2 linked regions of the Caenorhabditis elegans genome follow. The protein of the gene in region 1 purifies or fractionates together with the protein of each later gene. This does not show direct contact. Each region holds a gene or a part of one and is shown on either strand. Other genes may lie near its edges.

Region 1 (7,505 bases):
AGTTCTCCAAGAGATTGACGCTTTTTGTATTCTTCTTTCGTCTGTTCAACTAACGTATGCCATACTGTACTGGAGGTGTGCTGTGGCCAACCTTCTCGTCGACTTCTTTCTGATTTGTGCTTTTGAGCTATACTTTTGGATAGTTTTTCCAGTTTACACGCATATTCTGACTCGATTTCGCCTCGTTTCCGAAAGTAATCCTGAAGTTCGGAGAGACTGCTCATCTGTACATCTGTTCGATCTCCGAGACATTTCAGCTGGTCGCTCATTTTCGTGCGGAACTCTGAAAAAACAAACGATTGTATTCAAGGAAATTGTTGCAATAAGAAAGGAGAGTCAGCAGTTAAATTGCCCATTCATTTTTCTGTGTTGTCTGAGTGAGAGAAAGGGAGAATTGAAAAACAAAAAGAGCCCCTTTATGTGTCGCAATATTGGCAAAGAGCCTTTTTCTGGTGGTGTCTCCTTCTCAACAATGATACTTCCGCTTCTTTTCTCGAAAGTCATTTATAGTATTAAAGGAAGAAAAGAAATGAGATTCTCACTGCTATTGGAAATAAAAACACCAAAACAGACATTGAATAGGGGATGTAAAGAAAATGAATACTTTACGAGAGGATTGAGAAATTATAGCTGGAATAAACTTATCTTAAATACGGAAAAATGTTTTGTTGAAAACCCCTATTTGATTCTTTGGAAAATAGAAAACGTTGCAACATTTGTACAAATAAACATGAAAACAAACAGACAATACAGACATTTCCCATGCCTTATAGGCCTCTCCTCCCAGCAATAAATCTCATAAGATGGCGGCAACTGTTTGCTGGTTACATTGCACCATCGAGTTCAAATTTGTTTGCCTCGTTGGGAGGGGAAAGGTGTTCTTCAGATCAAATTATGAGTTGCGGGAGAGTAAGCAGAGAGCTCATGGACGTGGAAAAAAGAGAACTGAAATGAAATTTTTCGCGCCGTGCTTTGCCACACACTCTTCCCACACATACACTCATGCATAACATTTTGCAGTGTTTCTCGGCCAAAAAACACGGGAGAAGACTTGTAAAAAATGGCGACTGAGGCAAAAGCATGAAGGACACGCACATGCTCCTCCTCACTGACGTTCTTCTCCTTCGTCTTCCTTCATTCTCTTCCAATTCACTATGATGGTGGTGGAGACGATGAAAACGAAAAACGAAACGAGAATTTGAATGAAATGCGTGAATTAGAGATGAGATGAAACATTAGAGGGTTTTTTAAAAGTAAGGAATACGAGTGCTTATCGGAATCCAGTGCTCAGAACACTAGAAAGATGGAAAGACGCTCCTTCTTTCTTCTCAACGCCTCCTTGTATAATGGAGATCGCCTTGGAGACATACGGACACATTTGGCGGTCTTCTGTGTAGAGAGTGGTGATGCCGCCACCATATTGCTCATCAGCCTAAATGACACAACCAGTGCGTGTGCATTTGTGTGTATGAAGCTACTCTGAGATGAGAGCAATTCAATATCATATTCCCATTCTATTTGGTAGTCCTCCTGCGCGAAGACAACAGTAGTCGTGGGAAATCTATGAGAGAAAGGCGAGGATACTACCTACCTAATTATGTAGTCATAGTCATCGAATTGAATTACACAGCCATTGAAATGTGCCAAGTTGAAGTAGGAATTTAAATCAAGAATTCAATGTGGGAGTTTTGAGATTTTGGCGGAAAATATAGCAGAATAAAATCTACGTCAAGTAATTCTACAGATGGATGAAGAAAAAATTAGTGAAACTAAACTTTGATATTGACAACTATTTTATTCTCTGAATTCTATAAGTCTACACATTGTAGAAATTGAGGACGTAATCCGGCCCAATCTGAATGTTAAGAAATCAATCATTGATAGTGGGTGAGAGAGTCAGAAAGCAGTACAAAGCATATCGTGTATTCTAGTCTACTCGACTAATAGACCGTAGAAATTGGTACATTGAATTGATGGCTATATCTACGATATTTTTGTGGTAAAGGTTTTATGGTGAAACTGCTCAAAATAACGAAAATTGGAAGAAAAAACTAAGAAAGAATGATATAAAGAAGCAACATGTGGTGTCGACCACATGGAATCCGAATTGCAGGTGTGACATACACACATACTTAGAGAACAAAACGAGAGAAAAGGAGCCGATAGATAGATGGACAGATCCCTCTGAAGATGAGTCCATGAGCAAACCCAGAGTGGACGGGACAACGAAGACGGGACAACGAAATTGACGGATCAATTTTGAGGATGATTTATGAAATGGGTGGCCGTGGCTGCAGAAAGAGCTCTGAAGTGCACGGAAGGAGGCATTACTATTGTCTGGGACGCCAGGTCGATTCGAATCGAACAAAGATACGATATGAAGACAAAAACTAGGGAGTGAAGAAAGTATTAGCATTCTTGGGTTGGTAGAAGAAACAATTAAACGTCGAGGACGAGAAGGACGGAAGTCAAGGTGCGGAAAGTAGGAAAAAAGGATCATGAAATAGTATCGGAAAGAATGAAAAAGTAGTAGGAATTGAATGTTGACAAGAGATTCCTTCCACTGTTTATAACATTGTGAGTCATTATTGTCACAGGAATTGGGCCTATCCCACTATCACACGAATTTGATCGAAAAGGAGATAAGATTTGGAGAAAAATAGAACATCGAATTCATGATTCTGAAAGCGTTTTCACATCACATGGTTTTCTGAGTGATTTTTTTTTGTCGTTTTGAAATTATTTGCATAAGAAACTACAGTGGTGAATTTCATGTTTCGTTAAATTCAAAACATATAAACAAAATATTTGTTATCTTGGAAAATTCATACTTTATTCAAGTAGGGCCTTCTACAATTCTAACTAACCTTGGAAATCATACTGATCGTCGACACCAATCGATGCACATAGTGGTAGTCGAATACTCATGTTCGCATGACGTTTAGATCAAAACGAACACCAGTGTGGGAAAATAAGATGGGAAGAGACAGAAGACTAAATGACTTTCGTTCTCTAAGAGATTCTCTCGAGAGAAGACAGAGAGACAACTGCCTTCTCATGGCTCCCGGGTGGGGCGATGATGATCCGTTTCCATCGCATGCCCTTTCATCTTCTGCGTCTTCGTCTTTCTTTTCTAAGTTCCATAGAGAAGAAGAATGATTCCAAAACAACTTTACACACTTACGACACAGGTATAAGGGGAGAACAAGGTTGGCGGCGGCAGTGGCTTCGAATTATTCACTACTCCCCCCGTACTGATGCCCTATCACATTTCTATTATTCCGCAAGTTCCCCTCTAGTATAACTATTCATTACTTTGGTTCAAGTGACAAGTGACTTCCCGCAGTTTCCAACACACAATCGCAATAAATTGTCAATGCGTTGATGTCGCCCGACGATGGCGATGGGGTGCGAAATGAAAATGTTTCTTTTCTTTTTTCCCGCACCGCCCGTGTGTTCTTTCTCTCTCTGACTGTGTACCGACTTCTTTCCGCTGATGATTGTTTAGATAATAGGGTGAAAAGGCGCGAAAAATGGATGAAAATGATAGTGTTCTATACTTAAAATCGCAATTAAAATGTTTGATTATGATGAACAACACTAGGAACATTGAACAAGTTTTTTCCTCACAATGTGGCACGTAATATATGTTTATATCTCTACTTACCCCCAATTCGTGATGGGATCAACATAAACTAGTTGGAGAGGGTGTGAGCGGAAAGAAAAAACAACGAAATGAATTCAATGTAAACTTGGAGGGAAGATCAAGATGACAAATACTTTTAATAAACTTTGAAGCTTAATATATCGAACTATTTTTTAGTTTTTCAGTTTTGATACTCAAACGCGAAATTTTGCGCCAAAAATATGGCTCCCGGTCTCGACACGATAAATTTTGGTTGAATTTTCGAAAAAGTGTGCTTTAAAAACTACTGTATTCTCAAACTCAAATAAAATCCATAAATTTTTAACAAATTGTTAGAAAAACTTAGAGAATTAATTAAATTTCCTCTTCGTATTTTTCAAAAAAAAATTGTCGTGTTGAGACCCGTTACCGTATTTTGGCTCGAAAATCACAAAGTTTTGTGTCTGGGTAATACGGAAGGTTTTTTAATTTTTTTTGTTGCAAAATTCTCGAAGTTACCAAAAGAAAAGATTACGATTCCAACATTTCAAAAAATCTCACCTTTAGCAGCACACTCCAAATCGTGTACAATCGCCTTTTCTTGTTTGTGCTGTGAATGTTTTCTCACGTCCTGTGAGCATCTTCTGTCTGCTGATGTTGATGAAGTTAACGTCATCGAAGTTTCCTCGTGCTGGCCACCGGCCCCACCTTCAGACGAAGACGTCGTCATGTTTGGGGTCGGCACGGGTGAAGCAAGTGGTTTGGGTGAAATTCTGGAAAAGAAAATTATAAATTGAATGAATGATATCGGGTTGAAGGGGAAAGTATGGAAGAAACACGGATTGTTTGAAAAAAACAAAGGATAGGCAAGGAGAAAAGGAGGACAATTTATAGAATTTGTTTGATTGATTTATAAGAGTTGAGTGGCTAGAGTTAGTTTGAGAAAGCACAAAAAAAGAGATGGGCAAGCAAAAAGCGCAAGGAGCGGGACGAAAAAAGTAACTAGCTTGGCAGATGGTAAAGCCCGCGTTTGCCCCCTTACTGCTACTTCACATAAATCAACGTGTGGCTGGCGAAAAATAGAAAAAAAAAGTGAACAAGGGTTTGGTGGACGTAGCTTTCAGAAAAACAGTGGAAAGAAACACCGAGGACGGCATGTAACAATACGGTTTCAGGACAAGAGGAACGACAGAAAAATAATAGGAATTGCAAAAAGAGAATAGACATCAACATAAAGTGAAGCAGATGGACTGAATTAAGCATATGTATTTGATTTCGTTTTTGCTAAAGTCATCGTCTTTTTTTTTTGAAAACAAAGCCACTAGGGCGCAAACAATTAATATTTTACATACATATTTGAGGGGCTCCCGTAGATGCATAGTTACCTGAAATAATTTTTTAACAAAAAAGTATAAATATGAATTGATATTTATAACAAGCTTAAAAATATCAAGTTAGAAGTAAACCGACATTCGTTGCTCTTCTTTTCTTCAAGAAAAGTAATTCCTCAATAGAAGATTAACTATGGATTAAATATTGACCCTTTCAATAGAAACGAATCTATTTTCGAGAAGAAGAAGAAGAAAACATAAATGGAACGGACAAATGTTTATTCATCCGAGATTATGTAAAAGTATTACTATGAGGCAACAGGAGAGGGGAAGACCAGGACAATGTTATCTTTATTGTCCATCAACATCATATTCCTCTTCCACGACAACATTCAATCGGCACCTAACATATACCTGATGAATGAGAAATGAAGAAAAACATCCCAAATAACGGATATTGGTTTTGGAGCTGACTGGCAAAAGGATGCCATCAATCTTGACTCGGTCTCTAAAGCCTTTCGGCTATTCCAAAAAATTCATGCTTTTTTTTGGAAGACGAAGCAGGAAAGGAACGATTGAAAGTGAAAAACGCCTTGGGCTTCTTGAAAAAGAGAGGAAAACTTTTATTTTAGTTTTCTCTTTCCGACAAACAAGGGCGCTGCCGGACACTGCCGGACACAAGAGACAAGAATAACTTTTTTCTGACAACATAAAGAAATGAATAGCGCACTGGGAATATTTTTTATATAAAAATTTTAGAATTAATAAGCTCAGAATGGATTATATAGTCTCATGAGTACATAAATATTTAAAATTAAAGAAAGTGTATTCCAATGAAGAAGGAATAAGAATGTTATGTAATGATGACGTTCATCGGTCTCATTGTCTCGTCCACTTGGGAAGAACAAGGTTCCAATTGGCACCTTCTCGTAGTGGCCGTCGTAATATCCCTACACTAATCCTCCTTACACGGCTAATGTACTCTTATGGGAAACGAAAAGAACATGAAAAATGCGAGATAGGCAATACAGTACAGTCTATATATTTATTTGCATTTTGCAATACCATATAGAAATTCGAAATGTGCGTCGAGAAAGAGAAAAATAAAGTGTGAAACGTATGTTTGCCGTAATTAACAAGCGCATTCGACGACTAGAGGTGCGTGCGCGCTCCGCCGAGCCTTTCCAAGGTCTGTAAACACGGATTGGAGCGATAGAGCGGTCAAGACTAGAGAGACGTAGGTGGTTAGACACATGTTCTTCCCGAATGAAGAAGAATCTCCAAAAAAGACCGGTCCGGAAAGAAAATCTATGAAGCTATTCCAATTCCCATCACTGAATCCATGAACATGGTGGAGGGCTGAGAAGTCAAGCGTGACCGGCAGAAGGACATGGAGATCCGGTGCCTATCGACTAGCCACAACTGGTGAGCGTCGAAGAAGAGAAGATGTTGTGATGAAATTCGAGATTGTCAGCGATAATCGAGAGACTAGGTCAAGTAGTGGAAACGCAGAGAAAGGGGGAGACGATGACGTGGATGCTCTTTAATACAGGTTGAAATAAAGAAAGAAAGAAAGAATAGACTGAAAACATATGAATAAAAACATTATAAATGTCGAAGGAGACAATATGAAAACATGTAGGGAGCGGATGATGGACGGTATTCTAATAGTAATAGTAAACGAATAAAAGAACGATGTGAATCGGGTCAAAACCAAATTAGTTTCGAGTGTCCTTCTGAAGAGGCTAAGGGATTCAAAAGCGGATTTCATGATGATGCGATTACATCTGATCCTACAGTATTTTATACTTTAACTCCATGTGTCACTGTAAAATATCGAGAAACTTGAGAGCAGTGTTGTCTCGATTTACTGAATATATCAGTAAAAATGAATAGAATATTTCTAAATATTGCGAAAAAACTGATAAATTGTGCTTCAATTTATAAAACAAAAACTCAATTAATTCAGCCGGAAATGTCGAAACTAGGTCAATAAAATTCTCTGATTAAAAAACCTATTTTAAAAATTAGAAAAATGCTATGATATTTTACGAGTCGTATTCAGTATAACGATACTGGGTTTGAAATTTAAATAATAAATAAAACCCACAAATTGATCAAAATAATTTCAATGCTTTCAAGTTCATAACTCAAAATTGTCATTAAAAATCGGGTAAGTAAAATAAATGCGGATTTGTATAATTCATGACCGACAAAATAAGGATAAAACTTATTAGCATCATAATGGATGTGTTGAGCGGCGGATGCGGGCGGCACACACTCAAAAGAAGTAAAAGAACATGCATTGTTTATCCGCGGCTCATTCGTCATAACAAGCTCTAATAAAGTAATAAATACCTAATGGACGTGAATAGAACGAAGGAAAAGGACCAAAAAAGGATATGTGACACCTGACGCAAGTGTTCTCTACCGATTTCACTTCGCTTCTGATACACAATTACATTATTTTAGCATCGTGCCTGGGAAATGAAGTCTTTAGGGAATCGTAAAATTTAAACCATCCGTCGTTCTGCACTAATTGATCAAAA
Region 2 (7,505 bases), on another chromosome or scaffold:
TCACAGAAAAATGGAAGAACTCTTGGTTTCAGCTGCTTCTTGTATTTTCGAACTAGATTCACTGCAATTCGATGGGAAGGGCTTCCACTGTTCCATCGTTTTGGACGGCTGAAAAATAAATATTTTAGAACATCCCCGAATAACAAAGATTCAAGCATGACATACATCGAATAAAACACATTACTCCTCTCTTTTCTTCGTTTCTCTTTGCTCTGTCGAAATATTACACTGGTGTGAGAGCAAGAACACATGCTATCGAAGTCCAGAGACTTCCGATCAATACTTTTTTACTGATATTTTTTAAATAACTAATTGGATTTAAATGTTCTTCGATTTATAATTCTTTTAGAGTTTTTTCAACTCACCTTAACAAAATTCCACGAAGTGACGGGTGCAGAAGATAGGCTGCACCAACTGGTAAATCGCGAATCATGAGCTTCCGATTATGGGGTCGATGCATTTTTTTCTTCTGCTTCTTGCTGGAAGCCATCGATTCTAGAGGAGGTCGTCGAGGCGGAAAAGGAAAGGGAAAGAGTAATCTGCAATTTGCACAAGTTGCAGAATTTTCGTTGGTTCAAACGGTTTTGTCAGATAATAGAGCGAGTTTCAGAAATAAAAAAAATGATACAAAATTTGAAAGTCTTTCAGAGTGCTCAAATCATAACTGGCTCTCACTTCAGTCAAACATATCGGCTTGGATACAAACTACTTATCATTTGCAAAGCTCGTGGAGATCCTAGACCGACAATTAAATGGTATAAGGAAGGTGCTGAAATTCAACCAAAAGCTAGCATTCACGTGAGTCATGTACAGTAATCCGTGGGTTAACTGCTTTACTTGCAGTATTACGAAAAGCCAATCGAAAATGATACAATTTGGAGTAAATTAGAAGTTGGTAAGTGAAAATTGTTGTCAATCAAGAATATCTTTAGAACCCTTGCGAAAAATGATACAATATGATAAGAAACTTTTTTGTCACTGTCAGCAAATTTTGGAATTTCGCTCATTTCTCTACAATTTTTTTGCCATATTCAGCGCTTTTTAAAGTTTTTCTTCTTAACTGTGAGCGAATGGCAAACTACAATAACGACAGCTAAATATACGACAGTTGTCATATTTTCAGATCCGGCAACAATGGGCGATCAGGGTGTCTATGCATGTGTGGCTAATAACCCGCACGGAGTAATGGCAAAGAATTTTAAAGCAGAATATACGTATTGAATAAAGATTTTTCACAAATCAAATAATTTTCTCTCACCTAATCTATATCATATAAACTTGCGAAGGAATGCGTTTGAAACCTCCTCCTTCTGTTGCGTGCAGGCGCACGAGCGACAAAACAAACAGTGTTTGGGAGTGAGAGAAGCGGGATGAACAGGTGTGCGGTGGCGGTAAATTCGAGTGAAGGCGGGAATGTGTTCAGAATGAATACAGAAAAAGAGCTGATGACGTTGTAAACGAAATTCATGAACGAAAAGCAGGCACATCTCGCGCGGAAAAGGGAGGAGACGCGGCAGGGAACCGGATTGGGGGACTATTGATCGAACAATAAGGAAGAAGAGAAGTACGCGCCGTCGGTTATCGAAACTCCAAATTTTTCTTCTTTTAATTGGGAAAAGTATTACGAACATGTAATTTCATGGAATTCACACGGTTTACAATGAAGTTATCAAGAGAAAATATGCAATTCTAAAAATTTAGGGCAGATTGAATCGTCGATTGGATTGAAGTGAAAGAAGAGAAATAGAAATTTCGCGAGTGAGATTCAATCGGAGCATTGTTAGAATTCTATCTAGAAATGTAAGACAAAAAATACGAAATAGCATATTGAAATATAAAACCTTAAAATTAAAAAGAAGGCAATTTTAAAATTAATTTTACGAAATACAATTGAGAAAAAATGGAAAACACAACGGATTCAATCGAAGTTAATATTCTAGAGATGGTATTTATAAATTGAGGACAAATATTCTGCACTAGGAGAAACAAGAAAAAAGAAAGAAGTTTCTGGCTGGCAATCGTTCGCACAGGAAAAATAAAAAACTAAAATGGCCGCCCGTCTGTTAGCATGGAACGGGTTACGCTAGTTATAGACTAAGCTTACATACAAAATATGTATGTATAATATCCTCACAGCGTAACAAAGTGAGATATAGTTTAAATTCTAGATGATGACTTTAGAAATCCTATTTGGTGGTTTTACGAAGTTTACAGCGTCATTTCTAGACTGAAACTGACCAGTCTGGGATATCATTTGTCTAATCAAGTACTCTATCTAGATAACTGACCGATCTAATAAGTTTTCACGAGTTACGGGACCTAAATTTGAATCCAATAATTCGGTGACGACTGGCGACCCTATGTTAGATGTAGTGATGTCTCCATTCTCTCAATACTCTCTCGTCTTTTTCTCTGCGTATCTCACCACTAGCGTAGTCTATGAGTGCGAGCGGCCGCGTCGCGGTCGTCTTTAGGCTCGCCGACAAACTGTCCACCATCTTCTTTTTTTCCTTTTTTCGCCGTGTTCAACAAAGCTCATTCACGCTTTTCGTTGTTTTACAGGCTTTTATTGTTTTTTCTAATTATTGATTATTCATTTATAAGAGCAGAATTAATCAATAAACGTAGGTAGACGATCGAAGTATCCTATCAGTTTTTAATTTGATAAATTTTCTCGAAAGGAGCAATCATGTTTTAAATTATTTAAAAAATGGTCCGCTTAAGTTTGTCTGACTGTTTAACAATTATTGAAATCATTTTCGTGACATTTTATTGAACATTGCTTCCAAATTCCCCTAACATAATCCTGACTGAGATGTTCCAGTGTTTCATGTCGAATTATTCCTATTTTTGTACCTTTTCTTAAATATAACTAGTTTCAAATATATGCAAGTTGTTTGGTACGGAAAACCGATTCAAACTTCCGACCAGTTACCGATGAATCATTGCCAAAATTCCTCATCTAAAGAATTATACGCACAAGTTGTTTTGGCCATTTTGCCTTATTTCTTCATCGTTTATTAAGGCGTTTACCGTTTTTTTTTCTTGCTCTTTCTTCGATAATTATTGCTCCCAATGGTAAAGAAACGCTCGTGGCATTTCGAAAGAGACTATTGATTTTCTGCCTGATGTTTCGCAATTCGTTTTCATTCTCTAGTTATCTCTCCTTTTAAAACGTGTGCGTGCACATTTATGTGACTCATCCGTATTTTTCACTATAAAGACGTAATTTTAATACTTTTATTCATTTTTTTTTTCAGGCGAAATGCAGACGATCAAGTGCGTCGTCGTTGGAGATGGAGCTGTCGGTAAAACTTGTCTCCTGATCAGCTATACCACAAACAAGTTTCCTTCTGAGTATGTGCCGACAGTCTTCGACAATTACGCCGTAAGTTTAAGAAAAAAAAATTATTTTATATAAAAATAATTTCCGAATTTCAGGTCACAGTAATGATCGGTGGCGAGCCATACACATTAGGATTGTTTGATACTGCTGGACAGGAAGATTACGATCGATTAAGGCCTCTATCGTATCCACAGACCGACGTGTTTCTTGTTTGCTTCTCCGTGGTTGCTCCAGCTTCATTCGAGAATGTCCGAGAAAAAGTAAGAAATATTGTTCTCGAATTTATTCTATATATCTGAAATTGTTTTAGTGGGTGCCTGAAATTTCGCATCATTGCTCAAAGACCCCATTCTTGTTAGTTGGTACTCAAGTCGATCTCAGGGATGATCCAGGAATGCTCGAGAAACTGGCAAAAAACAAGCAGAAACCAGTGTCAACGGATGTTGGAGAGAAGTTGGCAAAGGAATTGAAAGCAGTGAAATACGTTGAATGCTCAGCGTTGACGCAGGTGAGTCATTCTTTCCAAAATAGTCATTGATAATATTGAAACATTAAAATAAAATATCATCCAATCCACGAAACCTAATCAAATAATAAATTTTTAAATATTAAAACGAGGCTCTTGTGGAAATACGTGACACTTTAAAATATAAATATCACTTTTCAGTTAAATTGTTGCTTTATATTTAGCAACGGTCATGTTTTCGGGAAAAACGAACAACCAGAATTCTGTTTTTATTGTGCAAAAAATTATCTCCTGAAATGCTCTATATTCCGGCTGAAAATACCATAGTTTTCATATTATGTTGATTAAAAACGCTTGTATATTGAAGTTTAAATAGTTTATTTTCAGAAGGGACTGAAAAATGTATTCGACGAAGCCATTCTGGCCGCTCTCGACCCACCACAACAGGAGAAGAAGAAGAAGTGCAATATTCTCTAGGAACGTCTTCCTTGTCTCCATGTTTTCCTCTGTTTTGTGACTGTGTTTTTCTTTCTATGTCCAAATTTTCTTAGCCCCCGACTTCCACTCTTCTCATACTTCTAAATTTCCCTGAAAAATGCCAAACGAGAAGCGGTTGCTGTTATTTTTGACAGCATCATAGAAGATGATTTTCTTCAATTCGTCTCCTGTAACTTATCCAGTAGAATCTCGATGAGCATGATTCCAGAATTTTTTAATTGTTTCGTATAGAATTTCGATAAGCAGGGCAGTTTATAGTTTCTCATCTGTTTTCGAATTTTTATCGAATAATCCCCTCGAAAATTTTTAAAAGTTCATCCAAATTAACTATCATTCTTTTCAATGACACCTCCTCTTTAACATTTTCGTCGTCGTTTTTATTTTCTTTTTTATCCCAAAACGTGTTTATAGTCCGGATACACCGTTACGTAATGCGCCTTCTCCTTTCCCATGGTTCTTTTTATAATTATATAATAGGTGTTGTATAGCACAACCAACTACATCCCGAGTCGCTTGTTTCTTCATTTGCTGCTCAAAAATACCGACCAGTTTGTTTTTCTTCTTTCCTTTTTTTTGTGCTTTTCTGCCTTCACACATCCATTTCCCATTTTAAACTGTTTTCTCATCCACTACGTTTTGTGTCTCCCTCCTCCTTTCTCCAGAACAACTCTGTATTTTAATTTTTCTACATATTGTTGTTATATATTTGCGATCCAAAACAATAAAGGTGTGATATAAAAAATTAAGATGTTTATAAAAGATCTTGAAAAGTATACAAGTGGGTGTTGTAGAAAAAGAAGAACCGGAACCATAAGGCATTGAGAAAAATAATTAATGAGTGGGTGAATTGGAACGAAAAATAATTATTATCACTGACAAAAAGTACTGTTTGACGAGGAGAGGAACATAATCACCGTGTATGAGGAAATGGGCTTCAACTAGAAACGATAAGAGAACATAAAATAGAGGCAAGGATGACTAGAATTAATGAACAAATTGACAAAAAATGAAATTATTTCACTTCAATCAAATGACGAAGAGATTTTGGAGTACTTGAATCATTATAATGTTTTGTTGTGAAACGAAGACCAGCAAGTAGACAATCAGACTGAAAATAAAACAATTAATATGGGTTGCTCAATTTTATTCTAATTTTTATTATGGAAGCGCAGAAAAATGCTCATTTTGAAAGCGCGTTTGCAATCGCGCTTTACGGACAAACTGTTGGGTCTCGTTAGGTATTCGCAGAAAACTAGAAATTCGAACATGTTCAAACATTTTTCGTCTGCTTTAAATGCTTTCCGCTATTCTTTTAAATTAATTTCAGTCCGAAATTGATGAATTAAAATTTATAAACGAAAAAAAAATTCGATTTTCATTGTCACATGCATTTTTAAAATAATAATTTTGAAACAAAAATCATTAAAAACAACTTCAAATTGTATGAATTAATGCTGTCAATTCCTAACGAGACTCATAGTTTGGCGTTGGAGCGAGCTTGCCCCTTCATTTCATTTTTCTGCGTCCCCATAATGTTTGGAAAACGATATAAGCAATTTTCGCTCTACTACACGAAAACTCTAAATATGAAAAACGCTTACCTGTTCAGGAGTGGTATTTAGTTTGATCAACCTGACAACATCTCTCATATCAATTGATGAGTTTGACACGAATGCACCATTTTGATCTACGTGATCGAATAATATTACAAGGCCAGTCATCACTCGACAGCAAAGATGTTTCGATGAATCTGTCAGTCGTGCCAGACATTCGTCATTTGCTAACATGAATCGGCAAACGCTGAAAATTTTAATACAATTTTATTTTACCGTAACTCATCATATCGTAACTCATGACTGATCAGTGAAAAAAGTAGTTGAAAATCACTATTAAAGTGCAAAAATGACCAAGAACTTTCCAAAAAAAGTTAATGTTTCATTTGCAGTGAAAAAGAAGATCAATTCATAATTTTGGAAGTATTTTTGAAAGATTTGTCAGATTTCCAAAACGTTGACTGAAACTTTTCATAACACTAAAAATTATTTAATCACGATATTTAAAAGATTTCCATTTTCTTGCTTGTGTTCCATAAATTGCGGATGGAGTTTACGATATATTCCAAAAGTATGTTTTTCAGTTTAATTTATAGAAAACTCACTTGATAATTGTTACAAAAACATCAGTTGTATTGTTAATTGGCAAGCTTTGATGTGTCTGCATGTACGAATCTACACCATTACAAAGTGCTTTTAACATTGGATTTCCTTCACAAAGAAACATTTGAACTTGTGGTAATTCGGGAACTCCTTGGTCTCTACAAATTTAAAATTATATTAGATTGTTTCAAATAAATTAAATACTTACTCAAAATCCTGATAAACAATATGTTTTGCTCGTCGGTAATAACTGTAATCATTTGTTATCTGGGCGGTTCTCATCTGAAATTAAATTTTTTTCTTTAATTGGAAAAGTGGAATTCATACTTTTACGACATCAAAGTCCAATACAAATCCAATTAATCGTGCAAACTGTTTGGCAATTGATTGTTTATTTGCAAGTTGTTCTTCGAGAGGTAATGGGCCAGATGATAATTCCCATAGAATTATTGGTACGATTTTTTCAATTTTTGCAACATGTTCATAGTAGGAACATGTTCTGGCAACAAATGGTTCAAGCTTTGTCATTAAAACTTTTAAAGCTTGAGTATCACTGTCATTTTTTAATTGATTTCTTTCTGCATAGCAACCTGAAAATTGATGTTACAAGTCTACTAAAAAATAAAAATCTAACGTACCATTTCCATAACTTGATACATCAGCAAGTACTAAATCACAATCATTTAATACTTCTTCAGCCATATTATATATTTCCCTTTCTTCATCTGTTGGTTGTGCATTTTCAAAATCCACAAAAATCTCGACCCATTTTGAATTATCATCTGCTGTTGATCGTATAATTGATCGTATCATCTCAAGACAAGATGCATCAGATTCTCGAATATTCGACGGCATTCTGCGAATCATTAAGCTGAGTATTGAATAGTATTTTAGAAGTGAAAGTTGGAAAATAAAAAGAAAATAAGCGTATAATTACACGATGATCACATGAAGATTATAAGATGCCGGAGAAAAGTAGTTGAAATGGGGGAAAATGGAAAACAAAAAAACTGGGAATCTTGAAAACAAGTACCATCTG

What was found. Proteins that work in one complex are often made in the same cells at the same time.
Region 2: the proteins of srgp-1 (region 1) and cdc-42 purify together in Caenorhabditis elegans (affinity purification with western blotting, with the first as the bait; one study listed by BioGRID). This does not show direct contact.

The regions. Positions count from the first base shown.
Region 1 is NC_003282.8:11,567,393-11,574,897, reverse strand, and holds the start of srgp-1 (Rho-GAP domain-containing protein), read right to left. Parts: upstream 4,399-7,505; 5' UTR 4,356-4,398; coding exon 4,187-4,355; intron 3,232-4,186; exon of another isoform or gene 2,929-3,231; coding exon of another isoform or gene 2,868-2,928; intron 2,371-2,867; exon of another isoform or gene 2,162-2,370; intron 1,217-2,161; exon of another isoform or gene 863-1,216; intron 284-862; coding exon 1-283.
Region 2 is NC_003280.10:7,613,192-7,620,696, forward strand, and holds cdc-42 (Cell division control protein 42 homolog), read left to right. Parts: upstream 1-3,260; 5' UTR 3,261-3,265; coding exon 3,266-3,388; intron 3,389-3,441; coding exon 3,442-3,606; intron 3,607-3,656; coding exon 3,657-3,854; intron 3,855-4,199; coding exon 4,200-4,289; 3' UTR 4,290-5,054; downstream 5,055-7,505. Other genes in the region: R07G3.7 (uncharacterized protein), read right to left, coding at 1-108, 366-490; Immunoglobulin domain-containing protein oig-4, read left to right, coding at 432-599, 649-798, 844-895, 1,124-1,221; R07G3.8 (CYRIA/CYRIB Rac1 binding domain-containing protein), read right to left, coding at 5,323-5,418, 5,912-6,110, 6,469-6,624, 6,675-6,748, 6,794-7,056, 7,105-7,321.